4 linked regions of the Alligator mississippiensis genome follow. The protein of the gene in region 1 interacts with the protein of each later gene in a pairwise test. Links are inferred from orthologs where the notes say so. Each region holds a gene or a part of one and is shown in the gene's direction. Other genes may lie near its edges. The genes, in order: OTX1, VWC2L, COMP and RGS17.

Region 1 (7,651 bases):
TCCAGATCCTCAACCCGAATGGTGCTTTCACATCTAGCTCTAAGAAGGGTATCCCAGATTGGAGTTCCTTTGGCAAATTAGCCCTGCCTAGAGACTCCAAGGTGTAAGGTAGTGTCTTGACTACGTCGCCTGAACAGAAAATGGACAGTAATAATTGTGCCTTGTGTTTGTTTCAGGGCTGAGGAAGAAGATGAACATTTGGAAAGGACTCTTGAACAAAACAAAGGCAAGATGGCCAAGAAAGAAGAGAAATGTGTCCTTCAGTGACTGGCCTTCTTGGAGCAGATGCAGTTGCATTTTGCAGTCGAGCCCTTTCTTACATTTTTAAAATACTGACACAAGACTGAAAAGAAAAAACAATGTTTTGAAAAATTTTAAACTTTTTCCATTTGGTTAGGCCAGCTCTATAACTGCATTGTTTTTTGAGTTTGGGGTTGGTTTGTTTTTGTTTTTTGGGGGGGTGGGGGGTGGAGGGGTTTGGTGGGTGGGTGGGTTTCCATTTGAGCAAACTAGCTTTGTACCATGTTTTACTTGTGAGCTTAGTCATATTGTTGAAATTCTGTTCCATAGATTTGCACAGAAACATTGTTGTGATGGTAATATCAGAGATGTCTTGGGGGGTGGTGGGGGTAGGGGGGGAAGTCTATCATGATTTCTTTACTGGAGAAGGAATGAGATTTGAAATAAGTAAGTTTTTGTCATAATAGGATTATAGAGGGGGGAAACAAAATAAAAATCACGCTAAATGGTTTCATCTAGTCCTGCCATACGTAATATTTAATAAGCTACCTACATTTTTATAGTTAGGTCCGATTCAATCCAGTTATTAAAATGTGCTATATTTACCAGTGTTTTATTTCAGCAGCAGTTTCACATTTTATTGTTAAGTGTAACCTAAATTGAGACTGTCTGATTTGCTCAGAGACCGGTTCTTTACATGCAGTTTGCAAAAAAAACAAAACAACAACAAAAAAAAAGCTTTGTGCTCTGGAGATGTGCTGCGCAGCGGGGGCAACTGAAGTGCGTCAGTTTACAGAAATTTTCTTTCATTAAAGGCTACGCAATTTTTTTTTGTTTTAATAATTATTTATTACAGTTTCGTTCCCTTCTCCGTTTTGGATCTCTGCATGGGGTCCAGAATGCTGTTAATATTTATTCTGTACCCACCAAAGTCTGTCTCGCCCTTGTGTGCAAATCCCTTCCCACTTCAAGTCCCCCTCTCTAGCCTCGTGCTCTTTTTCTTTTCTTTTTTTTCTTTTTTTGGTGAAAACTGTTACCTGTTTATTTATTACAATACTGAGTCATATATAAATTTTCAATAAAAGCCGAATCTTTCTTACCGTAACGGCTGCTTCCCTGTCTTTTACAGCAGGAAAAGTTCCTTACCTCGGCTGGCTGGGGGGGAGGTGGGGGGAGCTTCTCGGAGTCTTAAAAGTGAATGTAAAAAAAACCGAGGTGGTCTCCACACGGAAGAGCCGGCGCGGCAGCTCCGAGCCGGCAGCAGCCATCCCGCAGCCTGTTTCTTTCCTAAAACTTGCCCGGGTGCCGCCTGGTCCCAGTCCTGCCCGTGCGGCGGGCCGGGCCCTACCCTGGGCACCAGAGGCAGTGGCCGGTCCTGGCCTCAAGTCCGAGCTGCCGCGCGGGGGCCAAAGGGGCAACTCGGCTCTCGCTGCCCGGCCCCGCGCTCTGCCCCAGCCCGCAGCCGCGGGAGGGCTGCGGGGCGGCCCCGGCCCCGGCTCAACGCGCCTCAGTGGCGGCGCGAAGAGGCCCGGAGCAGGGGCAGGGGCCCGACGGCGGCGGGGCTGGCGCGGGGGCCGAGCCGCGGAGCCAGCAGAGGTGGTGGGAGCCTTACCTGCGCGCGGGGCGGGGGCGCGGGGCCGCGCTGGCCCTGCCCCGACGGGGCCTCCCCGCGCTCCGCCGCCGGCGAGCCTGGGCCCGGCGACACGCTCCTGCGAGCAAAGCAAGCGGCGGGAGGGGAGCGGAGGGGCTGGGGGCGCTGTGCTACCTGATCCCTCCGGGCTGGCCAGGGCGCGGGGCAGCGGCCCGGGGGGCCCCGGCCCCCTCCCGCCCTCACAGCGCCCCCGGGGCTCGGGCCGCGCCGCCGCCTCAGTCCTTCACTTTTTGTGAATGGGCCGCGGCGCCTTTGTGCGGAGGAGCCCGCGCACCATAGACTGGCCTGCCCCCCCCCCGCGGCTTTTGATGCGCGGCCCCCGCCGCCCGCAGGGACAGGGGGCCGCGGGGCCGCACCATTAGCTCGCTTTCAGCGCCGCTTCCCCCGGGACCAGCCGGCTCGGGGACGGCAACAAAAGCCCCGCGCCCGCCGGGGCCCGGGGAGAGGAAGAGCTGCGGGCCCTGGACGGGGTTGTCCCCTCCCGTCCCCCGCGGGCTCCTGTCCCCTGCCCGCCTCACAGCGGCAGCGCGGCCGTGACAGGCCTGGACGTGACCGCACGAGAGGGACGGGGCAGGGCAGGACAGGGCGGGCGGGCAGGCGGCCGTGGGGCAGGGGAAGCCCAAGCGCCGCTAACGAAATCCAGCGGGTGGCGGGGCCCGGGGCGGCGGGCCGGGGTGCAGGGCCCCCGCCACCCCTGGCCCTCGGGCAGGGCTAGGGGGCCGCCCGCCAAACCCGCAGCCCCGACGGCGCGGACGGCTGCTCCCTGCGGGGCCGCACGCGGGGGTGCGGGACGAGCCCTGGGGCTGCTGCCAAGTGGCTGGAAGTTGTCCCGGCACCAGGTGGGCTCGGGCCGGGAAAGTCCTGCTCCCGCCCCCCGGCCGCCCCGCCCCGCCCCGTCCCACCTCCCGCCGCGCCGGGGCCGCCCCGGGGGAGCCGCGGGAGTGGGCGCGCTGGCGGGCCGGGCCGGGCCGCGCCGGCCGGGGTGGAGCAGCAGCAGGAGCAGGAGCCGGAGCAGGAGCAGGAGAGGGAGCGGGGGGGTGCGGAGGAGCCCGCGCCCCGCGCTGCCATTGCCCGGGCGGCTGTCAGTCAGAGCGGGGCGGCCGGGGATTGGCGCCGGGGCGGTTACGCACTCGCCTGCGCTCACATACAAGGCAAGGGCGGTGGAAAGGTGATCAATCTTCATCAGGCTACGTTCCGGGCGCCCCGCGCCCCGCGCCGCCGCCTCCCGCCCGCCGCCGCCTCCAGGTAAGGCGCTGGCTCCGTGCCGGCCTCGACGGGGCCCCCGCACCGCGCGCCCACGCCGAGCCCGCCGCTATCCCGCGCGCTGCTTCCCCTGCAGGGCCCGCGCCCCGCGCAGGTAAGGGAGGACGGGACGGGCCGGGCCGGGACCCGGCGGGGCGGCCGCGGGCCCCCGGGCGGGGCGGGGCGGCGGCTTTCGTTGTGGTTGCTTTTGCCCCCCGCCGCACAGGACTTTGCGAGCGGCGGGAGAGGCGGGTCCGGGGCCCCACGCCGCCCCCGCGTCCCGCCCGCCCGAGCCGCTTGCATAACCCGCACCTGCGTGTGCCCCGGCCCGACCCGGTGCGGCCGCTGCCTCGGGGCGCGGGCGGCCCCGCCAGGCTGCCCCCACCCCCGTGGGCGGCCCGGGCCACTTGGCGGCGCGGGCGCGGGCCGTGCAGAGCAGAGCGGCGGGCGGCGAGCGGGGGCCGCGGGACCCGCCGAGCAGCAGGTGAGCGGGGCCGGGGCCCGACGGGTGGGCGAACTGGCGGCCCGCTCGACTCCCCGCTGCCCGCCTGCGGGCCTGCCTGGCCTGCCCCCGACGGGCGGGACGGACGGGCCCCTTGGCAGGACAGGCACCGCCGGGCCCGGCCTGGCGCCTCGCAGGAGGCCCGGACACTTGGGGGAAACTTTCCGTCCCTCCCCGAGCCCCGCGGCCGCAGCCTCCAGGCCGCGCTGCCTCCCCGGCCTGGCGCCGGGCCTCTACCCGCGCCGGGCCCCCGCCGCCTCCTTGTACGGGCCTGGGCCCCGCATCCGCGCACCCCTCTGCGCAAGCTCACGGGCACCCGCACTTGCACACGCACGCATTTGTGACAAGCGTAAACTTTCTGCCTCTCTCTCACACACTTGACAAGCCCCGGCGGAGTTATCCTAGGGGTGTCCCCGTGGGGACACGGCTCCCTCCAGCTCCAGCTCCAGCCAGGAGGAGCCCTGGACTGAGCAGCAGGGAAGGGCGCTCCCCCCCCCCCCCCCGACACGCACACACGCACATCCTTACATAGGCACGCACACACGGGTAGGTACACACACATACAGGTAGGTATATACACGTAGGTAGGTAATTTCTCTCTCTCTCTGTTTCTCTCCCGCTGACGAGCCCGAACTCCCTGTCGAGTTGTCTCTCCTCGCAAGGTCTCTGCGAGTGCAACTCCGGTCAGGTCTCGGCAGTAGGGAAACGACTCCCCCAGCACACACACACGCCCTGACACGCGCACACACCTTGACACACACGCACTCTCCCTCGCTCCCTCCCTCCCTCCCGCGGGCAAGCCCAAACTCTGGCGGCGGAGCTCTCGCAGCGCGGTGCGGGCTCAGCCCTCGCTGCGCTCGGCCGTCGGGACGGGCTCCCGCAGCGCCCCGCGCCCGGCCAGCACCGCCCCGCTCGGCACAGCCGGGCGCTGCCCCGCGCGCCCCTCGCCGCCCGATGCCGGTCCGTGCATGCGTGTGTGTGTGTCCCCGCAGCTGGCGCGGAGCCGCCCGGAGCCGAGCCGAGCCGAGCCGAGCCGAGCCGAGCCCGCCCCGTCGCCACCCGAGCCGCGGGGCCGCCGCCAGCCTCTAGCATGATGTCTTACCTCAAACAGCCCCCGTACGGCATGAACGGGCTGGGGCTGGCGGGGCCCGCCATGGACCTGCTGCACCCCTCCGTGGGCTACCCCGGTGAGCGGCGCGGGGGCTGGGGCTGGGGCGGGCGCTGGGGCCGCGCCGTAGGGGCCCACCGCCCCGGGCCCGCCTCTGACCTCCGTGTGTGTCCCCGGCCCGCAGCCACCCCGCGGAAGCAGCGGCGGGAGCGCACCACCTTCACCCGCTCGCAGCTGGACGTGCTGGAGGCGCTTTTCGCCAAGACCCGCTACCCGGACATCTTCATGCGCGAGGAGGTGGCGCTCAAGATCAACCTGCCCGAGTCCCGCGTCCAGGTGTGCTGCGGGGCGGGCGCGGGCTGCGGCCCCCGGGAAGGGCCGCGACGTGCGGGGCTCTGCCGCCTGGGCCCCGCCTTCGCCGGGAGCGCAGCATCCCCTGGCAGCCGGGCCGGAGCCGCCCCACCTCTGAGGCACGGCAGGGCAGTGCGGCGTGCGGGGCCGACCAGGCTGCCTGTGGCGCATCCTGCCTGCCTGGCACGGGCCTTCGTGCTCCTGCCTGGCGGGCCTGTGTGGTAGTAGCCACTGCAGCCTCTGCGCAGGCCTCCCCCATGCCCCTTCCCCTGGCAGCCGCGAGCACTCCCTGGGCACCCTTCTTCCAGGGCGGGAGTGAAGCAGCTTTGTGACCAGCACCCTCTCGGCTGGGGGCTGCAAGAGCCGGGTGCGGTGGGGGCAGAGGGCCTATGCTGCGGGAGAGGAGGGTGGGATTTCCTCTGCCAGGGCAGCAGGAGCTGGATGGGTAGCAAAGCTGGGTGCTGTGCTGGGGCAGTAGCTGTGGGGCCAGTTTCCCTTTTCCTCCTTTGGAGAAGGGAGAGCTAGGGTGAAGGGTGCTGCTTTAGATGCTGGAAGCTGGGTGCTGATCTCTCCGTGGTTCCTCCCTGCCATGGGTGCTGTGCTGAGCACACCAGGCCCCTCTTCCTAGAGGGGTATTTCAGGAAAAGGGGAAGTAGCTTGGCATGACTGTTCCTGGGGAGAGCCAGCTGGGTGCTGTAGTGAGGACAAGCCGGGAGCAGGTGCGGGGCTGGGTGAGCGTAGGGTGCTGTAGCATGGAGCGGGTGAGGGGCCAGGGCCGTGTGGGCACAGGGCTGGCCCGCTGCTGGAGTGGCGGGGGAAACTGGGCGCAGGATCCCCTGTTCCCGGAAAGACTGCAGTGGGCTCAGCGTGGTGCCCTGTGCTAAGGCTTTTGGCATGTCTTGTGGGCTGGGGGCCCAGTGCCCTGCTGGAGGATGGGGCTGTGTGCCTAGCAGGCCTGTTCTTCCAGGCCAGGGTGGGCCTGGTGCAGAGCAGAGCTTTGCTGGAAGGGGCACGGAGGGGCAGAGGAGCTGAAAGGTGGTGGGCCTGTCGGGGCCGGGTAGCAGCCGACAGACGTGCAGCGGGGGGCTGCCCAGGGCGGCGGCCACTTTCTGCTGGCAGGAGCGCGCGTACGGAGGGGAGTGCTTGTGGGGGGCACCGGCCTTCATGCCTGGTGCCACGAGGCCCGGGGGAACAGGGTGCTGGGAGCCGGCAGGGTTGGCACGACAGCGGAGGCTGGGGTGTGCGGGCTGGGTGCGGGTGGTGACGGCTGGGCGTGGGTGCTGCCCGGGGCCGAGCCGAGCTGACGCGCGCTCCCCGCAGGTGTGGTTCAAGAACCGGCGGGCCAAGTGCCGGCAGCAGCAGCAGAGCGGCGGCGGCGCCAAGGCCCGGCCGGCCAAGAAGAAGTCGTCGCCGGCGCGGGAGAGCTCGGGCTCGGAGAGCAGCGGCCAGTTCACGCCGCCCGCCGCCTCCAGCTCCGCCTCGTCCTCCTCGTCCAGCTCCAACTCCTCGGGCCCCGCGGCGGCGGCGGCGGCGCTGGGCAACCCGGCGGCGGCGGCGCTGAGCACGCCCGCCTCGTCCATCTGGAGCCCGGCGTCCATCTCCCCGGGCGCGGCGCCCTCGGCCGTGGCCGTGTCGGTGCCGGAGCCGCTGCCGCCCAGCAGCGCCTCGTGCATGCAGCGCTCCGTGCCCGGCGCCTCGTCCGCCTCCTACCCCATGTCGTACGGCCAGGGCGGCGGCTACGGGCAGGGCTACCCCGCGCCGCCCTCCTCCTCCTACTTCGGCGGCGTGGATTGCAGCTCCTACCTGGCGCCCATGCACTCGCACCACCACCCGCACCAACTCAGCCCCATGGGCCCATCCTCCATGCCCGGCCACCACCACCACCCGCTGAGCCAGAGCTCGGGCCACCACCACCACCACCACCACCACCACCACCAGGGCTACGGCAGCGCGGGGCTGGCCTTCAACTCCTCCGACTGCCTGGACTACAAGGAGCCCGGCGCCGCCGCCGCCTCCTGGAAACTCAACTTCAACTCCCCCGACTGCCTGGACTACAAGGACCAGGCGTCCTGGCGCTTCCAGGTGCTGTAGGGCCCCGGCCTCCGCCCGCCCGGCCCCGCGCCGCCCTGCCCCGCACCGACTCTTATTTATTGGCCCCGCGGCGGGGCGGCCCCGCGCGCTGGACGGCAGGGGCTGGGCGCGGGCCCCGGACTGCGGACCAGGCGCCGAGGCGGAGCGGGCCCCCCCCTCCCGGGGACGGGGCCAAGGGGAAAAGGAAAGGCAAAACCACACAAACGAAAAACAAAACAAAAAAAAATCAAAACGAAAAAAGGCAAAAAAAAAAGATAAAATAAAAGCAAAGCCGGCCCGCCAGTCCCGTGCCCGCGGGCCCCGTTGTCTAGTGCGTTTAGTGATGCCCCCGTGCCGCCGCCCCGCCCCGCCCCGCTTCTGTGTCCCCGGTCCCCGTCCCCCGCCCCCTCCCCCGGCGGGAACAGGCCTCCGTGCGCGGGGCGCGGGCATGTGCGGCCTCCCCTCCCCTCCCCTCCCCTCCCCTCCC
Region 2 (6,892 bases), on another chromosome or scaffold:
ATGGGTTCACTAAGTGGCTGTGCATACCATCAGACCTGAAACTGCAAACATTGCTCTCTTATTTGGCCTCCTCAAACTCCGATAACTTTGTTTTGAATTTCAGGTCATGTTATAGCCCTTGCAAGCAACGATGGAACTGTTAAGGTTCTGGAACTCAAATCAGGGCAACTTTCCAGCCTGGTGGGTCATGAAGATGATGTGCAGTGTGTTGTTTTTGATCACAAAGCAGAGCACCTGCTTTCCGGAGGTGCTGATGGCACTGTTCGACTCTGGACCTGAGAACTAGAATCCTGTTTTAACATGCTCTTGGTTTCAAAGCCTTATGGAAATGATTTGATGACATGACAGCGACAACTTAGTTAAGTGTCTTCACAGTTAATGTTTGCAGTAGGCATAATTGCACAAAATTATTATAATTGTCTATTTTATCCAAATAAAATCCCAGATTTCTCTGCCTTTGTATTGATAGTGTGTTTTTTTGAACATCAAGAATTTTTCATTTGGTTGTTTCAGGAGAAATAGCTTTACAATGACGCCTAATGACAGACTAGATGAATTGCAAGGAGATTGATTTTTAATGTAACAGAACAAGAGACACAAGAGCTCGGCTACTTTTTTTTTATTCTCTCTTCATCAAATCCAGCCCGTGGCAAGAAGTGAAGTTTTAATAATGCAGCAACATGGGATTTTTTATGCAGCAAACGGTTTGGATGCTGGCAGGGCAAGAATGAACAAGAGTTTGCGAGAGATGCCATGACAGTAATCTTTTGCCTCATCATTCAGTAACTGCAGAGAGCTTAAATCTAAATACTGGCACTTCCTGGAACTTAGCCCTGCAGTCTGATCTGGAGCAGGTTCTCTTAAGAATTAAAATGGGCTGGTGGGAGGGAGGGAGGGAGGATGTGGTCCGATGCATGTGAAATATGTTCAGGTATGGTTAGAAATCGCTTTCCCTCTTAGGATGGTATCCAAGGAAATAAGTGATCCCAAGAGAAGCTCTGGAGGGCTCTTAGTTTCTTTGCCCAAGAGCGGACTGCGAGGAGGCGTGTGTGCCGCCCTGTGATGCATGATGCTGGGCTGGGGCGCTGACCGTGGTGCTGAAGGAATCCCGGCTGCCGGCAGAATGAGCTCCGAGGCAGCGCCTGTCGGGCTGCCGCTGTCCGCGGTGCTGAACGCAAGGGAAAGTTACTCCCGTGCTTGAGATCAGAAATACCCCCGTGGGTTGGGAGAGGTTGTCGAAGCAGCGTATCGTGATGGTGTTGACTGCATTTCAGCCTGAGCTGGCTTTGAGCTTCAGCATGCTCTTGCCGTTTATAGTATCGACAGCGTAGCAAAATAACCAGCCGGCTTGCTGTTGCAAGCACTGAGTGGAAAGGATCAGTTGTGTTTGGGGAAGGGAAATTGCATCCAAAGACCTGAACCAAAAAAAAAAAAAAAAAAAGAATAACTTGGACACGATGATTGTGCTGTTTGGATCTGGATTGTTACAAGGCAGCCTTGCCTCTGGACCTCCTTGTTGCTGCTTGCTTTGAATTCTGAACACTGGCTTAAAGCTTATTTCTCATGTCTTGGCTGCTGAGCTGCCGTTTTCCTGTGTTTTCAAATGGGAGGTGGAGGAAAAAGGATTGTTCGTGATTCATCACTGAAAATGTAATGAAGACGAACAGCTTTTACTGATATATTTCTAACCTTTTAGTCCATGTTGGCCTGTGACCCCCTCCAGCTTTCACCCTGAGCCTGATTTGGTAAGTATGCATAATTCACTGGGGTGGGTGGAGGGGAGGGGGGACCTTTACTCAGAGTAAGACACTATCCAGCATCTCTTTTAATGAGAAATGATAAAAAGTTCAGTTGTAAACTAATTCTGAGCTGTGTAGGGTTTGTTTACTTGTTGAAATCTTTCTGTAGTGTAGATCTGAATTCTGCTCAGTTTCCATTCTGTTCATTAAACTGAGTCTCTGAAGTTGCCAAGGGACATCTGAGATGACCACAGGCTATAACAACATATAACTGACTTATTTTTACTTCTTATAGAACTTGGTTTTATTTGGTGCCTTTCCTTTAAAGTTGGGTAGATTTAGGGAAATGATTGGATAATTTTTGATTACCTTCAATATCAATCTCTTCTATTGGTTCCATTTTTTCTTAAATTTTCACTTACCTAAGCCTGAAAAATTGATGCCTACCTGTAGCTTGTAGGTGAGCAAGTCAACAGTCCCCAGATCCATAATGCAAACTTATCTTTGAGCATCACCCATTTTTTAAACACCCTGTTACAAAAGATATTGTTGGTAGTATCACAGTACATTACCCTTGTGATAAAAAGCTATACAGAACTTTAATTAAGAAAATATCTTTTGATTTTTGATAAAGCTTGTGTAATATCCGGTGTCTCCCTCTGTTGCAGCCTTAGAAAAAAATGCCTTGTCAACAGAATCCCTTAGCTTCTCCTGTATGATTAGAGCTTTCTCCTAATGCATTTGTCTTTGACACTGTTTCTTTAATCAAAATATTGAACATCAGCCAAAAATCTCAATATACAATAAATATTTCTTTTTGGGGAATAAGACAAAATCTGTATTTCTGTATGCATGTGTGCACGTGTGCATGTGTGTGTGTGTATATGTGTGTGTGTATACACGCAGACACACAGACACAGACACACAGACACACACACACACACACACACATACATATATATATATATATATATATATATATATATATATATATAAATATAAAAATGCAGGCACATGTTTATTCTATTTGTTGTTTTTATCAGCCTCCACATACCTCCTTCCTAATAAATACAGCACTAATATTTCATCTGATAAAAAAGTTTCCTTGAAACACTTTTGACTGTATGACAGCCAGTCCATGCCCACTTACCTTATAGCAGGACAGAGACCTTTTTTCCTTCCTGATTCTGAAAGGTATATAGAAAAGAACCAAGAAAGTATACTTAGGGACAAAGATGTGGTAAACAATATAGCTTACTGTGTGCCAGGAAAATATATCCTGAGCCTTTTTTTTTTAACCTGATTATTCTTGGTGTGAATAGCAGTAGTCTTTTCTTCTTTCTCAAAACAGTATCTTGAATACTTAAGAACAATTCTCCATTTCCAAAAGTGTAAGAATTCCATGTAGCTGTATGACATTTTAGAATGAATACTGGCCCTATGCCTTTGAGACAAATATAATAACTGTATGCATGGAACATTTTAAATATTTATCTATGAACACCTATTCAGAATTTTTTTTTAAACTGTTCCCTGAAAATGTCAGTTTCTAAGTAATACTCAATAATGCTTATGGTCCTAGCCCAACTACTTTAGCTCTTTCTGCAGGAATACTATAATTAAAACTATGGCCACCTGTCTCTAAAAATAAACAAAATTCAGCATTGTCTTTCTTATTCAAACCATATGCCTGGCTACAACTCAGATTATTATTGTTGTACTTATTGGTTTTCATGGTTACTTCAGAAGGATAGGAACAATAATAAATCTTTGTTCAAATCCCATTGAGCTAACTTTTCACCATGTGATTTAAGGCAAATAATTCCACTTCCTGTATATCAGACATTTCCAGTTAATACTGTAAACCAGCCTGAATGGAGGTTATCTGTGGATGTATGTGTGTGTTTGTGTGTTTGTGTGTGTTTACACACACAATTATTAGCTTCATTTAGAGATTTCCTGTTCTTTATTCTCCTAAAAATAACTTGAAAGAAGATATTTGTTTAAAATGAAACAGTGTTTCTTATCACTGCGCATTGGAAGCAGTAAGCTTTATCCACAGATACAGATTGAGCACGTGGCCTTACCAAGTATGTATTTGTTAATAATTCAAGTTGTCTTTATTTAAAATATCTATTTTCAGCCCCTGCTTTTTGGTATCCCTATGGAAGCAGCCGTTTATAACTGATAATAGGATCATATGGAGAAGTTGAGGAGGGGGATGGCTCTTCATATTCATGAAGCCTGCATACTTCTGTTATTAATCTCTGGCTTGGTCACCCCTGCTGCTATCAATCATGAAGACTACCCTGCTGATGAAGGGGACCAGACCTCAAGTAATGACAATCTGATCTTTGATGACTACCGAGGGAAAGGCTGTGTGGATGACAGTGGTTTTGTATACAAACTGGGAGAACGTTTTTTCCCAGGGCATTCCAACTGTCCTTGTGTCTGTACTGAGGATGGACCTGTTTGTGATCAACCAGAATGCCCCAAAATCCACCCAAAATGTACTAAAGTGGAACACAATGGATGCTGCCCGGAATGCAAGGAAGTGAAAAACTTTTGTGAATATCATGGAAAAAATTACAAAATCTTGGAGGAATTTAAGGTATGAACAACCTTTGGGAGTTATTTAATACTAGCATGTTATACAAACTGATCGGGGATGAGATTTTCCAAGGTACTCAATATTTGCTTACCTCTGCTCCTCCTTAAGCCAATAGTAAAACTACCAATGGCTTCAATAACAGCAGAGTCAAACCTATACTGAATGCATTTAAATAAAAATCAAATTTGAGCTTGTGCAACAAAAAGTATTGGTGTAGTACTTGAAGGATTACTATTCACAAGCACATCAAAAGTAGGGAGTAACCTAGAATTGCTCTTTGTGATTAAATGGTGATAAACTAAACTTAATAGTGTTGTTTTATGCAGATGACTGTTTAAAATAATAGAAAGTATAAAGTCCAATGATGACTTTAATAGCCAAGTTCCCATTAAGAATATTGAAAATATTCAGTGATCCTTTTGCAATTAAGTTGAAGACTTTCTTTGAAGGACAACCTGTAGCTCTTCATGGGAAAATACCATAGCTATTTATATACCTATATACTTGCCAGCTTATTTTCTCTTCCGGCAATGGAAATAATTCCACATAAGACCTTGTGGTTTCCAAACTTTAAGTAATACAAGTTTATAGATTTTTTTTTCCCAAATAGTGTTTTCTTTTGATTCGTCTTGTAAATAGTATATAATTTAGGTATTTCTTGCATGTGGGGTTCCTCATTCACTCATATCTAACCTCAGTCAGGATATTTAGGAAGCAGTCTCTTTCACAAAATAAATAAAAGTACAGTAGAAACATACCCTTGAAAGATAACCTGATCGTTTTGTCTAACACTGTTTCAGAAGAACATGAGGCTTATGATTCTGAGATATGTTTTCATGTAATGGAACGTTAGTAGCCACCCCCAGAAGAATTTTTCCAGCTTACTAACACAAGTATCACCCTTGAACACAGCATGTTCCAATCTTTGAATGACCCCTTCGCTGATAGGTGGCGGAGGATTCCATCTAATTCCTCGGTCATGATCAAATACATATGCTAACATAACCTAGGACATATTCAGGTTGAGTCTTAGACCATACCCAATACAATGGAAAACTGTTAAGGAGGATCTTTTTATTACAGAGTTTGTACAAATTAAATAAGAAAGGGAAAACTTTCAAAAAAAGTTTTTTATCTTTATTCACTGAAAAGATTAATCAGTATTTTACAAGCAATAACACTAGGAGTACTTTTTCAGGCTGGTATTTTGGGATTTAGCCAAAAAAACACCCTTCATTTAAAATGAATAAGATTAATTTAATTTCCTGTTTTGCTAAAACCTCAGATGAACCTTTCATGAGGGGTTTCTTACTAGAACCTTTCATGAGGCCTTTTTTTTAGATAGAGCAGTTGATAAAAAGAAGAGTTCCAGCACCATTGTAATGATTTCCTAGCGAAGGAAAAGCACATCAGATTGTGGAACATCTCAACCTTAAATAATCCTCAGCCAGGTACATCCATAAAAAGACCCCAGATTTAATTTAAATCACAATCAAGCCTTTAATCTGGAGCCTTTAATCAAGCCTTTAATCTGGGCATACACCATGTGGAGTAGAGTGGAACATGTTTATAAGAACGTTATGGTGAAACTCTGTCCATATTGAAATAGAGAAGTCCTAGAATAAATTTTAGAGTTATATTCTACTCATAGTGCAATATCATGTGTGTATATACATATATATGCATAGATATGTATGCAGAAACAGAGAGAAAGGGAGAGACTCTGGGAGCAGACAGTTTCCAAAGTTCTGTAACTGAGAGCCTGGAGAGAGAAGTGCTGAACCTGGGAAATTTCTGATTTATAGACTGAAATCCCAATGCACTGAAGTCAGTGGTTGTTTGCTGCTTAAATGGAGCAAGGATATCATCCGTTATGTCCACAGCAGAATACCTAGAGCTCATAAGTTTTGCAGCCTCCTAGCCTTCTTCTGTTTCCTGTGAAATTTATAATATCTTCAGGCTTTCTCAAGTTAGTGTCATTTATAGTCAAGCTGTGCCAGAGATGGAAGACTTTCTCAAGTCCTCCTTCCTCTTCAAAAACTGGCTGATTGTAATTACACTAGATTCACCATTTTGTGGGGACTTATACAATTGAACCCTTCATCTTTCACATGAACTGTTCCATTGCTGTTTACATTTTTTAAAAGCTAATTTCCAGTATCATCTTCTCTAGAGATACTGATCTCTGCATAGTCACATATGACATCAGCTGAGGAATTAGTTGGAGGTCTTAAAGTATGATTCTTATATGGGGATATGTGTATGTGTTCTTCATTAGCTTCACCAAATGTTACATGCATGATTTGTGCCCAAAGTAGACTTATATCCTGAAAAGTTTTGGGACAACTTAAGAAGATAGTTGGAACAGTAAAATGGATTATAATTGTGGAAGGTTTGGGATTTTAATCATTTTCCTAACTTATTTTTAGCCCACTGTGGGCACATCTACATATGCTGCTGTGGCACCATTGTTACTGCATTGTCATTTAGTACTTCCTTTTGAAAGTACTAAAAAATGGCACAGTAACAGCCCATACTGTGC
Region 3 (7,804 bases), on another chromosome or scaffold:
CTGAACGGCACTGCTCTCTCTGCTGAGAGAAAGTACCTGAAAGAGTCTCTAAACAGAAGTTTCTCCTGAGAGGAGAAGTTATTTTCCAAATCAATGATAAGAATAACATGGAAATTTTGTTCTCAATTTCTTCAAAAAGGCACTGCCTGTGCCAGTAGCTAGCAGTCCCTGGTAGCTGATGCATACACGGGCAAAAGCGTATTCACCTCCTGCCCTTCTGCTTAGGAGTTAGACAGCATGTTTAAAGCTGTGGAAAGGGAAACAGCTGCAAAACTCAATAGGTAAAATCCCAGGCCCATTGCTGGAAAAGAGTCCACTTCAGACTATGGGACTTGACTCTACCGGGTTGGACTAGATGACCTCTTCCAGCCCTACTTCTCCGTGATTACTACCGGGAATAATACCCATTCCAGCGCTGCCTGACTTAGCTGCAAGACAGGGTCGTATGCTGTCCCAGCACCAGCATTTGGGGATTTTTTAAGTAGCCAGAAGCATGTGCTAGGCCTCCAAGAAACAAAGAACATAAAATCTCTGTTTACAGGGATAAAGCAAGCGAGTCCAAACAGACAAGAAGGGGCGAAGAGGAAGGACAATGATAAAAGACAGTTTCAGCAGGATGTACAAAACCTTACACAACGAACACCTGAGCCGTATACAGCTAGACTGCACGGTGTGCTGTCAGCATTTCAGGCCGTGTGCTTTTAGAAGACTCACGTAGACAGGAAGCACGGCACCCTTTCCATCTGTTACCTTACCTTAGAGTACAAGCGCTTTTCTAAATGCCTGTCCACCCTCAGTGTCTTACGGGGCAGTGCATTTCAGAGTTCCCCGCTTTACAGACGGGAAAAGTGAGGCACAGAGTCCGAGTAACATGCCCATGATCACGTAAGAGATCTGGAGGCGCAAGAAACCAAACCCGAGTCTCCCACACTCCAGACTACAGCCCTATCCGGCTAGCCTCTGCCAAGCAGTTTTTCAACCAGTTGAGCATATTAGCAGTTGAGTTGAGCCGTGTCCCTCCTCTACAGTAGACTTTAAAAAACTTGTCAGTGGGCATATCAGCTAATGTGCCAAAAGCAGCTATTTTAAATCTCTGCCTGGAGAGGGCCCTGAAGAACATGAAAGGGAGAAGAGGAAGTAGGTGGTGAGAAACAGAGGTAAGACAGCTGCAGTTAGAAGATCAGGAGTGTAGCAGTGTGTGCAGAAAGGCTGATTTACATACAGGCTTTAGAAAAGGGCCGCATCAGCTGACCTGTGAAGAAAGAAACTGTATGGCCATCACTTTTGCACCACTGACCCCTTATTCCCTTGCTAGTGGGACACTAGTCGACTTCAACGCCTTTCAAAGTGCTCAGCTTAATGCCTGCCACAGGAAGAAAGCCCTCATGTGGGAAAGTGCCATTTCCTACACGGTCGCAAGTTGGGTCTGCTAACATGCACAAGTCTGGACAGATATGTACCGAAACTGCAAAGACAAAGCAAACGTGGTCTGAGATACACTATGGTTTATACTGCCTACAGAACAGCGAAAAAATATAGTCTTGGTAAAAAAAAAAAAGTGCTTTTCTTCATGCTTGTTTTGCCAGTTTTGAAAACTATTCAGCAGCTTGTTGATAAAACTCCAAAATAAGATCTTCCCTTGAGTGGGGGTAGATGATCCTCGCTACCTCAATATCTTCTTTACGTGTTCCTTTCAAAACAGGAAAATGCCTTTAGTGTTAATCCCGAGGCAGAGACTTTTAACACTGGTACGGCACTCAACCAGGAAAATCACGAGGCAGCGCCGCCAGATGTGAGCAAACCACCAAAGAAAATGTAGAAGTGGCGTGACAGCTCCTAGAAACTTATGACAGGACGATACACGGTACAAGCACGGTGCCCGCGTATGCTATGAAACTATGTCTATACACACAGGACAACACAACCCGGTTACACTCGCAGGCCTGGCACACGCGGGGTTTTGATGAGATCAAACCTGTGTACCGCTTGGAAAAAAAGTTTATTTTTTGCCCTACCAGACAAGCCGTCCTGTCACCGTGCGTGCTTTTCTGGCACCCGGGTTTGAATGCACGGATTTGACATCCAAATAAACGCACAAGAAAAAGACACAAAGGTGAACTGAGAAATCCCTGTCAAGACCCGAGTTCAGGGGCCTGGGTTTCTGCTACCGACACCAACAACTGCAGCTAAAACCAACGCAGGGACCTGCACTCCCACTTCTGCCTTTGATGCATTGGCAGCAGGAGCACAGTCCGAGCAAGAACGCAACCCAAAATGAAACGTACTTCACCTGCTAGAGCCGATTCTGGGCTTTACCAGCATTGCGATTCACTTTTAAAACTTGCATTTCAATGTCCCCACGGTTTGCAAACAGCTCGCTGCAGGGCAGCAGGACCCCACACGCACACGGGGATGGGCGGCCTGGATAAGACGCTGCGGCCCCGACGTATGAAACCGCCGTTTTTCTTTCTAATGCAATTTTCCAAGCGTCCGAGCCGCGCCGCCGAGGCAGCTGCGATCCTCAACGATTATATTTCCTTCTGCGGTGGTCCGACCCCAACTCAAATCCTCCCTCCTCTTCCTTCCCCAGCCCAGGCCGAAGCCCCAGGTAGCAGCAGACCCGCCGCGCCCCGGGGAAGAACATCACTCACGTTCCCGACTGACGTTGGGCCCTAAAGTCTCCCTTACTCACCTTTGACTCCTTCCCCACCTGTCCCTTTACCTTTTCTTTCCCTAATTCCTACCTATGTACGCGCTCTCACGGACGCTTTTAGCCTCTTCCGCTCCTCGAAGACGATCGCGCGCCGCGCAGACTCCCTACGCCGGACGAAGGGGGCTGCGCCCGCACGCTCGCAAAGACCTTTCCCCCCCCAGCTATTTCGCTGGTTTAATAAGAGAGCGGGGGAACGCGGTCCGGAGCCGTTTCCCGCTCCGTGGAAGACGGACGCTTGGTTTATATTGTCTTTGAAGGAACGAAGCTGCGGCGCGGTGTAGTTCTTGCCACAATAGTTTCTGCGTCTGCCCAAGGAACCGGCCCAGGCTGACACGCGAGCTGCTGCCCCGGCTTCTGGGGTCGGCGCTTTGGGGGTGCCGAGTCGTGCGTTTGGTGACACTTCTCGCCCGCTCGCCCGCCGGCGCTGGGCCGGCCCCAGCCCCACGGCTGCACTTCCCCGCCGCCCGCCGCCACGTGCTTGGGGAGAGGGATCCCCCGGCTCACCTGCGCCTCGATGGGCCCCGGCGGGCCCTGCCCCACGCCGGCCGCGCCCGGGCCCTGCCCCGGCCCCGGCTGCCCCGGCCCGGGCGGCGTCTGCGTCTGGCTGGGGAGGGTGAAGTCGGTGAACTCGAACTCGGAGCCCTGCGTGTCGGCGCCGAGCAGCTCGGCCTCCTCCGTGTCCAGGAAGGTGAGCGTCTGCGAGCTGGGGCCGTACGCCTCCACGCTCATGGCGGCGGCCGGCCGGGCCGGGCCGGGGCCCGCACCGCACCGCACCGCACCGCACCGCACCGCACAGCACCGCACGCCGCGCTTGGGCCCCGGGAGGCGGAGGCGGAGGGAGGCGGAGGCGGCGGGAACGGGAACAGGAACAGGCCGCGCGCGAGCCCCGCGACAAGGAGCCAACGGCCGCCGCGCGCCCGAGCCCAACCGTGCGGCCGCCGCGCGCCAGGCCCCGCCGTGACGACACACGCACGCCAGCGCCGACGCGGCGCGCCACGTACGCCGCGCCCGTGACGTAGCACGCACACCTGCGGGGGGAGGGCGGGGTCTAAGGCTCGCTGAGGGGAGGGGGGAGAAGCGCCGTTTGTCATTGCCCCTCAGTGAGGTGAAGGGAGGGAGGGGGTCTGTTATTGCCCCCTCAGTGACATGAAAGGAGGGAGGGGGTCTGTTATTGCCCCCTCAGTGGGGTGAAGGGAGGGAGGGGGTCTGTTATTGCTCCCTCAGTGACTGGGGGGGTCTGTTATTGCCCCCTCAGTGACATGAAAGGAGGGAGGGGGTCTGTTATTGCCCCCTCAGTGGGGTGAAGGGAGGGAGGGGGTCTGTTATTGCTCCCTCAGTGACTGGGGGGGTCTGTTATTGCCCCCTCAGTGGGGTGAAGGGAGGGAGGGGGGTCTGTTATTGCCCCCTCAGTGACTGGGGGGGTCTGTTATTGCCCCCTCAGTGGGGTGAAGGGAGGGAGGGGGTCTGTTATTGCCCCCTCAGTGACTGGGGGTCTGTTATTGCCCCCTCAGTGACATGAAAGGAGGGAGGGGGTCTGTTATTGCCCCCTCAGTGGGGTGAAGGGAGGGAGGGGGGTCTGTTATTGCCCCCTCAGTGACTGGGGGGGTCTGTTATTGCCCCCTCAGTGGGGTGAAGGGAGGGAGGGGGTCTGTTATTGCCCCCTCAGTGACTGGGGGGTCTGTTATTGCCCCCTCAGTGGGGTGAAGGGAGGGAGGGGGTCTGTTATTGCCCCGTCAGTAACTTGGGGGGGGTGTTATTGCCCCCTCAGTGATTGGGGGGGTCTGTTATTGCCCCCTCAGTGAGGTGAAGGGAGGGAGGGGGTCTGTTATTGCCCCTCAGTGACTGGGGGGGGGGGTCTTCCGGTGCCCCCCAGCGAGGGCTGTGTCCCTGCAGGGGTGGGGCGGGCAGGCGGGGCTCCCGTGGCAGTAGCACTGCGCAGAGGTGTGAGCCCCGGCCCTGTGGGGACAGGCGGGGGGTCCTGGGAGTTAACCTGCATCAGAGGAGACGGGGCACAGCCATGCGAGCGTCGCAGGGGACGGGACGGGACGGGACGGGACAGGGCGAGTGGGTTGCACCCGGGGCATGAGAGCAGCGTCCGACTGAGGTGTGTCCGAGAGCCCCGAGCGCGGCTGTGAGACCTCCAGTGCCGGTTGGTGAGCGTTCGCCGGGGATGGTGCAGACAGGCCCAGACGATCCCAAACGGCGCCAGGTGGCCCTTGAGAGCTCTTCCAGCCTTATTTTTCAGTGGTTTGTGGTTATCAGGCTGTCGCTAGAGAAGAAATCTCTGTACCTGTTTCCTTTAGGACAGGGTTCTTAACCTTTTTAGACTCAACCCACCCCCGTTAGACTCAAAGCCGCCCTCGGATAATGCTAGCTTAGTTCTCGCTCCTTTTTTGACTGCAATTTTTCCGTTGCAAAGAACTCCAGAAGATGGCAACAGGTGAGAGTGTTTTTAGCGCTATGGACTCCTATTTGGATTGTCTGGGTTTATCATGAGAGTCGTGTTTGCACACCTAACAGTACTAGCATTGTGTGGCACCCTTGAAAGGATCTCGGAGCACCCCAGGGTGCCATTGTACCCTGGTTGAGACTCACTGCTGCAGGGGTGCAAGATTTTCCACCTTCCCTTTCTTATCAAGACTTTGTATCCAGAGTGGATGAATGCTGTATCCGTGCATTGGCTGCCTACCTGCCCTTGTTTGCAATAGACTGATCACATCCCCGTGTCCAGGTTACATGTCAAAAGCCACCTTGCCCACTTGACGTGGGGTCCAAATGGCTAGAGCAGGACACTGGGATTGAGGGCTCCCTGAATCTGTTCCCACATCACTAGGAGAGTGTGGTGTAGTGGTTAACCAGGAGTTTGGGAAGTACAACTCCTGGGTTAATTTCCTCTTTTCCTCCCTCAGTTTCTTATCTGTAAATTAGAAATAAAAATACCCATTTCACACTAAAATGTAAAGATTAATTAATCATTGTAAATCATTTTGAGACATATGGGGATTGAGGAGTATCAAGTACTAATTGGAAATTTGGCTGTGATTGAGAATGATCAAGTTTTGTTACTGTTTACTGTGCTATTTGCACATTTGGCAAACAGTTGCACAAGAGGGTCTGTAACTGGATATGCTGTAGAAATTGAGCTCTCTGCTCATCTTCAGAAATGGTCCTGCCAGGTCCAAGCTGAGGGACATTTGAGAAGATGCATGGGAATTCTGTGAAGACACGGAGGACTTTGGTTTTGGGTGTTTTCATCCCATTGCCTTTTACTAGTTCAAAATTCAGAGCTGTTCTAAACTAACTTCTTCAAGTTGGTTGTGGCAAAATGAAATGGAAAGCTGGAGATGGTCATTCTCCCCCCCCCCCCCCAAAAAAAAAAAAAAAAGTGATTTCACAGCTACTGAAGATGGGTATATATTTCCTTCAACACATAGCCTTTATTTTGTCCCTGTTTTCCCTGTAGAATGAATCCCAGGAACAGACGCGCAGGCATGCAACGGTCCACTAGAAGCATTGATGTAGAATGGAAAATTGCACCTTCTATTTTCTGAAGCTTCCTCCTCGTTGGACTATCCTATACCAATCATATGTAGAAAAAAAAAAGTAGAGAAGCTGAGAGGGCTAATATTTCTATATACACATTGTTTGATTTCACCTTTAGTTCTGAGTGCCCTTGAAGAAGCGGAGTATGCTCTAGGCCTAATGTAAAATTGTCCACATTTACAGTTGTGACCTAGTAGCTAGCACCTTGCCCTCCACTATGGGCAGTTCTTGGTCTTCCTAACTAGCTTTCCAGGACTGTGATCCACATATAAATATGTAAATGTTCCTTGAATAGACAAATCTATCTGGTTGATGATAAAAGAACTGCCCCTTAATCCAGTTTTATCAAGTGATATTATTTAGCATCTAAGGGCAACTTGGGGCCTATTTACCAGTGAGCCATGAGAGGAATCGGCTAAACCTGGAACCTTAAATTGGAGAAAACTTGCTTATGAATTATATATCCCTTAATACCCCTTTATACAGTCTTGTCACTGACTTCTTTAATGAAGGGGAGGATTAATAAGGAGTTCTTAAATCTGCCAGTTATCCAAGGGAATCCCCACTCGTGGAAACAGAGCCGGAACACTAAAGTAGGTTAGTGAAGTGAACCATTAAGGGCAAGAATGGAAAGCTGACTGTGATCACAGCCCCTGCCGCTATCCTGTGCCAGGGCACAAGTCTAAGTCATTCCACAGAGCTTCCACAGCTCAACAGTAGTTACAGCCCACCTGAATTAATCTGCAAGTGTTTGTGTGATAAATAGAAAATCAAGTGAAGAGTTATTTTCAGTTATCCTCAAAGGTATCTTCTTTTGTCTTAATATTCTCATTATTTTTAGTGTCCCATGGAAAAAAACCTTATAAAATGAGATCATTGGGTCCAGTGTCACGGTACTTTCTGTTTTGTTGGCTGTCATGAAAGAGTTCTTGGGAAGGAGACTCCCCGGCCCTGAGCCTTACACCGCTTCTCTAAAATTTACAGTTTCCCTATTCTGCAAAAGCAAGGAACAAATCAATCTTGATCTGTGTATCAGTAATAGTAGGAGGATAATTATCTGGGTCCTCAGAGTCCTCCTATCTTATAACCATCTCAGTCACGAAGCTCTGGATGATGTTAGCAAGAATGAAACATGAAAGCTCAGTCATAAACTTTGAAGCATCTTCACTGAAGACAGGTTTGTGGAAGACTGCATACATATGTGGGCCCAAGGATGGTGCAAGTCGGTGACATCTGAGCAGGTAGGTAAAACTGATCTATGAAAATGTGTCTCAGCCAGTTTAGAGCTGTGAACAAAAGTCCTGCTCTCTGTGGAGCCAACTCTAGGCTTATCATAAGGAACTTTCCCACCACGTTGACCTTGTGTTGTTGGGTTTTTTTGTTTTTAAGGATTTTATTCTGGTGAAAGGCATGAGTCCAAGAGCAGTAAAAGAATGAAACACCATGTATCCACAACATGCAGAACATGGGCAGTTGCAAGTGCAGGCTTCTTCCATGCTCTCTCCTTGGAATGCACCTCAGCTGCTTTCTGAAGAAAGCCCCTTTACA
Region 4 (7,495 bases), about 82 Mb from region 1:
GGATCATCCCTGACGAAACCATCCCAGCCAAGTGTCTGTCTAACCTGCTTTCGAAAATTTCCAGGGATGGAAATTCCACAACTTTTCCAGGTTGCCTGTTCCAATGGTCAACCACCTTCATAATCAGAAAGTTCTTCCTGATCTCCAACCTAAATGTCCTCTGCTGCAGCTTGAGGTTACTTCTCCTAGTTCTGTCCCCTACAGTCACAGAGAAAAGCCCATCTTCATCCTATCCATAATTGTCTTGCACGTATTTGAAGGGTGTTATCAAATCCATCCCCTCGCCCCGGGTCTTCTCTTCTCCGGACTAAATAACCCTAATTCTTATAGCCTTTTCTCATAAATCGTGTATTACAGACCTCTAATCTCTCTCTCTGTTGTTGTTGTTCTTCTGCTCTGCTGAACTCTTTCCAATCTGTCTACATCTTTCTTGAAGTGTGGAGCCCAAAACTGGACACAGTAATCCAGGAGAAGTCTCACCATTACCAAACAGAGTGGAAGAATCACTTCCCTTGATTTACAAGAGATGCTTCTGTTAATACAGTTTGGTACATTATTGGTTGTGGTTTTGTTGTTCCTAGTTTGTTTTTTGAAACAAGAGCACACTGTTGGTTCATACCGAGGTTATGGTGAACTGTAACTCTCAGGTCCTTTTCTGTGGTACTGCAGCCTAACCAATCATTCCTCAGTCTGTATTTGTGTATCTTAGACTTACCTTTCAGAGGATCCACCCAACCCAGTATCATCTGCAAATGTGCCAAGTGTGCACTCAGTCCAGTTGTCCAAATCACAAGTGGAATTTTACCCCATGGTTAGATTGGTATTGACTCCAGGGGGTCTCTACCTGGGATTTCTTGAGTGTATATTGACATTTTATACAAGCATGACATTGGCTGCCATGGTTCTCCTGCTTTACTTGTGGCAGGTTTGCGTGTTAAGTCTATGTTGTGTCAGGGTTGAGGGTAGTTTTATGTAGAGTTTAGATTATGATTATATGGGATGTTTTGGATAGGGATGATCCTGCCTCAGGCATGGGGTTAAGCTACATGATTTATAGAGGTCCCTTCCAGCCCTACTTCTCTAGGACACTATGTTTAATGATATGTGGCCCAGAGTCCTGGGGAACCCCACTTGATACCTTCTCCCAACTAGACATTGAGCCATTGATAGCTACTCATTGGATGCATCTACACATGTCAGTATGGTGACGTTGTTACTGTGCCATGATTTAGTATTTCCAAAAGGAAGTAACAGCCCATACTGCACCGTATGTACAGCGCATGCTTATTTTTAGCAGCTACTTTGCCGTAGCAGCATGCTATACTGGGGGAGCATGTCACTTTGGCAAAGTAGCTGTTGGTCATGTGTAGATACCTGCAGCTGCTACATCACCATAGCACATTGCTACTGTGACATAGTGTCATATGTAGATGCACCCAAAGAATAGAATATTCCAAGAGTGACTTGGATGAGGGCATGGAGAGCATCCTGTCCAAGTTCGCAGATAATACCAAGTTATAGGACAAAGTTAACACACCAGAGGGTAGGGAATGGATCCAGGCAGATCTGGACAGGTTGGAAAAATGGGAAGAATGAAATAGGAAACAGTTCAACAAAGACAAGTGCAAAGTGCTGCACCTGGGCAAAAAGAACCACCAACACTTACAGGCTAGGGGATGACCTTCTCAGCAGCACAGCAGCAGAAAGGGATCTTGGAGTCATAGTTGATTCCAAGATGAACATGAGTCGTTAATGTGACGAAGTGATGAACAAGGCTAACTACACTTTATCATGCATTAACAGGTGCATGACAAACAGGTTCATGGAGGTGATGCTTCCCCACTCTGCGGCACTGGTCAGGCCCCAGTTGGAGGCACTGCATCCAGTTTTGGGTGCCACACTCCAAGAGGGATGCGGAGAATCTTCAGAGGGTTCAGAGGAGAGCCACTCATGTGGTCAGAGGCCTGCAGGCAAGGAGAGACTGAGGGACCTAGATCTCTTCATCCTTCACAAGGGAAGGCTGGGAGGTGACTTTGTGGCTTCCTATAAATTCAGCAGGGGAGGGCAGCAGGGAATAGGAGATACTCTATTTACTAGGGCACCCCCTGGAGTAACTAGGAACAATGGCCACAAATTGCCCGAGAGCAGATTTAGGTTGGACATTAGAAAGAACTTCTTCACAGTAAGGGCTGCCAGAATCTGCAAAGGGGTTCCAAGGGAGGTGGTGCTCTCCTCTACCCTGAGGGTCTTCAAGAAGAGACTGGAGAAGCACCTACCTGGGGTCATCTGACCCCAGTGCTCTTTCTTGCCCAGGGCAGGGGGTTGGACTCAATGACCTACTGGGGTCCCTTCTGACCCTAACACCTATGAATCTATGAAACCAACCAGTTATGGATCCACCTTGCAGAGCATTCACCCAGTCTGCATCTTAGCTGATTCATTAGAATTTTGTACATCAAGGGTTAACTTTGAGGCCATTCCCGTTTGTAGTCATTATGAATGTGTTTACTGAACAAATAAGATGACCACCTTGGAATGTGGTCTATGTGGATGACATGGTCATTTGAGCTGAGAGTCTAGAGGAAGTGCAAGCTGTATTGGACCGATGGAGAGAAGTGCTAGAGGGAACAGAAATGAAGATTAGTCTATCCAAAATGGAATATATGCACTGTGATTTCTCTTAGGTACCTGATATGGGAAATGTGATAACTGATGAAAAACATGTTTGAAAAGTTGACAAGCTCAAGTAGCTGGGGTCAACCATTCAGCAGAATCCAGTTAGATGAAGAGCTGAATCATTGAATAAGGGCAGGGTGGACAAACTGGAAATTGGCAACAGGAATATTATGCAACAGAAGAGTATCAGTGAAGCTGAAGGGGAAAGTCTACAAGACATGTGTATCCAGCACAGAAACATGCCCCCTGAAGAAAGCTCAAGAAATAAGACTGAACATGACAGTATGGGTGAAAGGGATATGGCTTCAATCAATTATTTCTGACAACTGAAGTTGAGGTGGTACACGTGGAGGCCCTTGAGATTTCAGTCATCTGTGCTGCCCTTTTGTTATTTAAAAATGTAGACCAGATTTTCACATCTAGGTATACAACTCAAATACAGGCATTTAAAATTAGGCCCCAACATCCTTATTTAGGCATCTATGCAAACCAACTCTGGTGTCTGAAGTGCAGAGCAATGACTTTCATATGCTTAAGTTCTAATCACTAGGAATCTGTGGCGTCAGTGCCAGGATTCAAGGATAGAGTCCAAATGATTATAACTGTTGTTCTCTGATAATTGGATTTGGGGTTTGGAAAGAAAATACAAGTGATGCCCATGCTTTTAGGAGCATTAACTTTATGGGGCTGTTTCATTTCAGCTGTGGTAGAATCAGAACAGTTTTGGCCTCATTTTCTTGTAGTGCTATACCACCACAATTTATTGGGATCTCAGTTATTCTGGTGGAATAAGAGGTGCGGTGTGGATGTTAAATAGAAGGAAGATATCCAGTCAGCAGCATTCAGGTTCCAAATTAACATTTTTGCACCTTTCTCCTATTATGATGTGTTGAGAGCCAGATTGTTTTGGTTGACTAGTAGAAGCAACATCTGTTGTCTGTTTAGATGCTAGGATTCCTAGAATGGGAGTGGGATTCAACAAAATCCAGAAGCCAAACAAGTGTTTCTCCAAAATGGGTGCACCGAGGCATATCAGAGTCCAGATTTTTAAGGTGCAGTGGGTATAGTAAACATGTGCTCTATTTAGACAGTGGCAGCTGTGAAACTCAGGCAAAATAATTGGCAACATCGTCCAGGCTTCAGAAGCTATCGCCACATGTTTACACTCCTGCTTCAACTAGATGTGTTGCAGTCTGAAGCACCCACACTTCTCTGTGGAGCGTGGGTGGCCAAAACGGTGTCCAGGGGCTGGGTCCAGGTTTGGGCAGCATTTGCACTGAGGTGCATCAAGTTTGGGGCTGTTTTATGTGCGTGCAGCAAAAGCAACAGCTAGCCTTTCTTTCTCTATTTGCACAATGGGGGAGGGACAAAAATAGGTGGCACCCAGGTAGGGCCGAGCCTTTGCCTTTTCCAGTCGGGATGCATTCATCCATGATGCCCGTTTTCCATTTCAAAGACAGAGAGGGCAGCTGTCCTGACTCGCCCCTGGCATCTATTTAAAGAGAGAGGTTGGGAAACATCCCACTGATCCATCACGCATCACACCAGGTGTCTTCAAAAGCCATCCCTGTAATCCAGCCTGGCTCGTGCCCGCCGGATCCCACGGGGCTGGGACCAGCATCGCCCAGGCTGGACCCCTCCCGCCTGCACGGCTCAGCGGGAGCTCCCGGGGGCCGGGGCTGGGGCCGGGCCGTGAGTCACAGCCTGGGGACAAGCGGGGAAACTCCAGCTGCTCGGGGAGGCTCCAGCGCTAGTGGCAGAGCGCATGTGCGCCGCCTGCCTCTCCTCTCCTCTCCTCTCCTCCCTCCTTTCCTCTCTCTCTCTCCCTGCCGGCTGGGTGCTGAAGTTGGGCGGATGGCAGCAACCCAGCTCCGCTAGGACCAGCTGCACCAGCCTTTCCCTGGGATCGCTCCGTGCCAAGCGCGTGCGTCCAGGCGGGGCTGGGTAAGATGGACTGGGGCTGTTTGTTTGGTTTGGGGGGGGGGGGTTCTTTTTGTTTTGGGGGGGGTGGGGGGTGGATTTGAACCTGAACCTTGGGAAATGACACCAAAATGTCTGCTTGCTCCTGGTGCGGGGGGAAAAATAATAAATTAATAAATACAAGAGAGATGGGGAGCGGGGGGAGAGGGTAAGGGATGGAGGGCAGCTGCAGAAGCACTCACAGGGGGGACTGCCTTGGGTGTGTGTGTGTGTAAAAGGGGCAGTGAGCAATGGATCGGCGGCTGAGACTGCAAGTGTGTGTGTGTGTGTGTGTGTGTGTGTGTAAAAGGGGCAGCGAGCAACGGATCGGTGGGTGGGTATGGGGGGGGGGTGTGAGTGTGCCTGTCGCTCCCCTGCACGGATGCACAAAGGGGCTGGGTCCCGCGGCTCTGGCGGCGGCATCCTCCCCGGTGCCCGCGGGTGCTGGCGCTGGCGCTCCGCGGCGCGAGGGATCCCGGCGAGGGGCGGTGATGGCCGGGGGCTGCAATGTTACACCCGCCGGCTGGCACATCCTCAACCAAGGCTGCCTCTCGCCCTCCCGCATGCCCCCACAGCGGCTGCAGGCTTCGTGCTTGGGTCGGGGGGGGCGAGGAAAGCCATCCTGGCTTTCAAACGGCAAGGAGATAAGAGAGATGCCCCTTGCCTTTCCTCCACTGCCTCGCTTCCTTCCCCGCGCAGGGGGCCCGGGCTGCCTCCGGATCGCCCACCCCGGCGCCGGGGATCCGGGGCCGGGCGGGTCCCGGCCCTTCATTGTTAGCATCCAGCCGGCCGCGGCTCGAGCAGGGGGCCGGGAGGGGCCGGATCCGCGCCCCCGCCCCCGCCGGGAAGATGTCGGAGGCTGGCGGAGGCCGGCTGGCCGCCCCCGGCCCGGCTGGCAGGGAGGGAGGCATCCCCGCGAGCTGGGCAGCGGTGCCCGCCTTGCCCGCGGCCAGCGCCCCGCTCCCGGCACCTCCCGGAGCCCGCACTCCGCCTGGCAGGCAGGCGGGTTTCCTCCCAGGGAGGAGCTAGTTTCCCCTCTGATCCCTTCAACCCCGGGTTTCTTTTTTTTGCGAGAAATGCTGACCTCCCCCCTCCCTTGAGACGCAGATGGAAGGTCCTGCCTAGCCACCTTGGGCTCCTGCAGCGCGCCTCCCTCCTAATGCTCTGGCCCAGCTTATTCCAGCACTGGTGTAAGGGCGCTTTAGAGCTCAGAGTTGGGGCGTCCAGGACTTTGGAGGGATAATTCTCCCCCCTCCTCCCCATCCTAAAGAGTGTGGCCCCCATGTGTCACCAGCACAGACCGGTTTATTGAGAAGTATTTAGGTATCCAGCTCCTATTTATGTGCCTAACTCCCAGTGATTTTAATGGGAGTCCTTTGCCTGGACACCTTGTTGAGCCATGTCTAAGATCTTTCTGAGCAATGAAAATGTGGGCAAAAATATAAAATAACCTAAGTGAATATTGTGATTGTATCAGATGCCAACCCAATAGCTCCAGAGATTGTAGAAACAACATTTACGTTTTCATACATCAGTGCATCAGTCTTTACCTTTGATCTTTAGTGACCTCAGAGTTTTTCACTGTCAGGGAAAATGGATGAAACAGAAGAATAGGCTGCACTGGAGGAAAGCTGGGGAAGGGGAGTTAGCGACTGGCTATGGATGTTATAGCTAAGAAAAAAATAACCAGCGCTGTGCAGCTGCACCAAGTGAATTCCCGTGTATTTCCATGAATGCTAATGTTATTATAAGACTTAAGAAATGTTTAGGTGACTTCAATTCTTACCCATTGAAGTAAACAGAGAGGAATTACCCCTAAACACTGGTAAGAAACATCATCTTATATCTTTGAAGGTATTGTTTTGTTGTTGTTGAGATATCCCACCCTATCCAGAAAGACTCAGAGCAGCTTACAGATGAACAACCCAAAAGATAAGAAACAAAAATAAATTCCCCAGTGGACACCCTAAAACTTTAAAACTCTACCCTATACCACCCATACCCATTTCCTGCATATTACTCAGGTGAGCAAATCCTCTGGCCCATTGCAGCCATGCTTCCCAAGACCCATTCTCAATTAGGTGTACAGAAACTTTTTTCTTTTCCTCCCACTCCTTGCCTACCCAGAAGCATAACAAGCAGAGTTGGTGCCCTGGGCAAGCCCTGGGGGAGAGCTGGGGGGGGTCATGTAGTTTCTGAGAGAGGGGGCACAGGTTCAAGAGTGGGGACGTGGTTCGCAGAGCAGTCTTAACCATGCTGGGGACTCTTGGCTGAGCTGCTGCTGCCCCTACCTCCGCTCTTAAAACAGCAGCAGCTGGGAAATTTTTTGGCCCTGGGCAGAAAACAAGCAAGTGAGTGAACTGTGTGGCTGCTCTTGCTTCCAGGACATGGACTCTGCAGGGCTGGGGGTGATTTCTGTGCCTTTCTTAACTTTTTGCCTACTCTCCCACCCCTAGATATAATACTGCCTCCACATGCACATCTGCCCCTACTCCCCTGCCTTACATCCAGGGGAGATACCCTCTCCTTCAATGTTCCTATCAAGTCTACTCCCCCAGTCTATCATTACTTGACCAAATGAATATCCACAATGTGCACGGTACCATGCACACACACAAGAGTGTGCAGGCTCTGCCCCAAAGAGCTTATAATCTAAGTACTAAGTCCAGATCAACAGAGGTATTTAGGTATCTAACTCCTATTTATGTGACTAACTCCCAATGATTTTAATGGGAGTCCTTTGCCTGGACACCTTGTTGAGCCATGTCTAAGATCTTTCTGAGCAATGAAAATGGGAAAAACTATAAAATAAATAATGTAAGTGAATATTGTGATTGTATCAGATGCCAACCCAATTACT

Evidence for each region.
Region 2: the proteins of OTX1 (region 1) and VWC2L interact in binary tests that used the Homo sapiens proteins (3 or more experiments, as listed by UniProt). The two-hybrid records come from large-scale screens. The link is inferred for Alligator mississippiensis from reciprocal best matches to the Homo sapiens genes OTX1 and VWC2L.
Region 3: the proteins of OTX1 (region 1) and COMP interact in binary tests that used the Homo sapiens proteins (3 or more experiments, as listed by UniProt). The two-hybrid records come from large-scale screens. The link is inferred for Alligator mississippiensis from reciprocal best matches to the Homo sapiens genes OTX1 and COMP.
Region 4: the proteins of OTX1 (region 1) and RGS17 interact in binary tests that used the Homo sapiens proteins (3 or more experiments, as listed by UniProt). The two-hybrid records come from large-scale screens. The link is inferred for Alligator mississippiensis from reciprocal best matches to the Homo sapiens genes OTX1 and RGS17.

Annotation. Positions count from the first base shown.
Region 1 is NC_081824.1:213,439,591-213,447,241, forward strand, and holds the start of OTX1 (homeobox protein OTX1), read left to right. Parts: upstream 1-4,641; 5' UTR 4,642-4,725; coding exon 4,726-4,822; intron 4,823-4,927; coding exon 4,928-5,079; intron 5,080-6,414; coding exon 6,415-7,185; 3' UTR 7,186-7,651. Other genes in the region: EHBP1 (EH domain-binding protein 1), read left to right, coding at 177-267. UniProt on the Homo sapiens protein: Probably plays a role in the development of the brain and the sense organs. Can bind to the BCD target sequence (BTS): 5'-TCTAATCCC-3'.
Region 2 is NC_081827.1:180,462,041-180,468,932, forward strand, and holds the start of VWC2L (von Willebrand factor C domain-containing protein 2-like), read left to right. Parts: upstream 1-3,888; 5' UTR 3,889-3,939; coding exon 3,940-4,350; intron 4,351-6,892.
Region 3 is NC_081839.1:1,283,351-1,291,154, reverse strand, and holds the start of COMP (cartilage oligomeric matrix protein), read left to right. Parts: upstream 1-4,800; 5' UTR 4,801-5,153; intron 5,154-6,176; 5' UTR 6,177-7,497; intron 7,498-7,645; 5' UTR 7,646-7,804. Other genes in the region: UPF1 (regulator of nonsense transcripts 1), read right to left, coding at 3,218-3,442. UniProt on the Homo sapiens protein: Plays a role in the structural integrity of cartilage via its interaction with other extracellular matrix proteins such as the collagens and fibronectin.
Region 4 is NC_081824.1:131,938,363-131,945,857, reverse strand, and holds the start of RGS17 (regulator of G-protein signaling 17), read left to right. Parts: upstream 1-4,487; 5' UTR 4,488-4,620; intron 4,621-7,495. UniProt on the Homo sapiens protein: Regulates G protein-coupled receptor signaling cascades, including signaling via muscarinic acetylcholine receptor CHRM2 and dopamine receptor DRD2.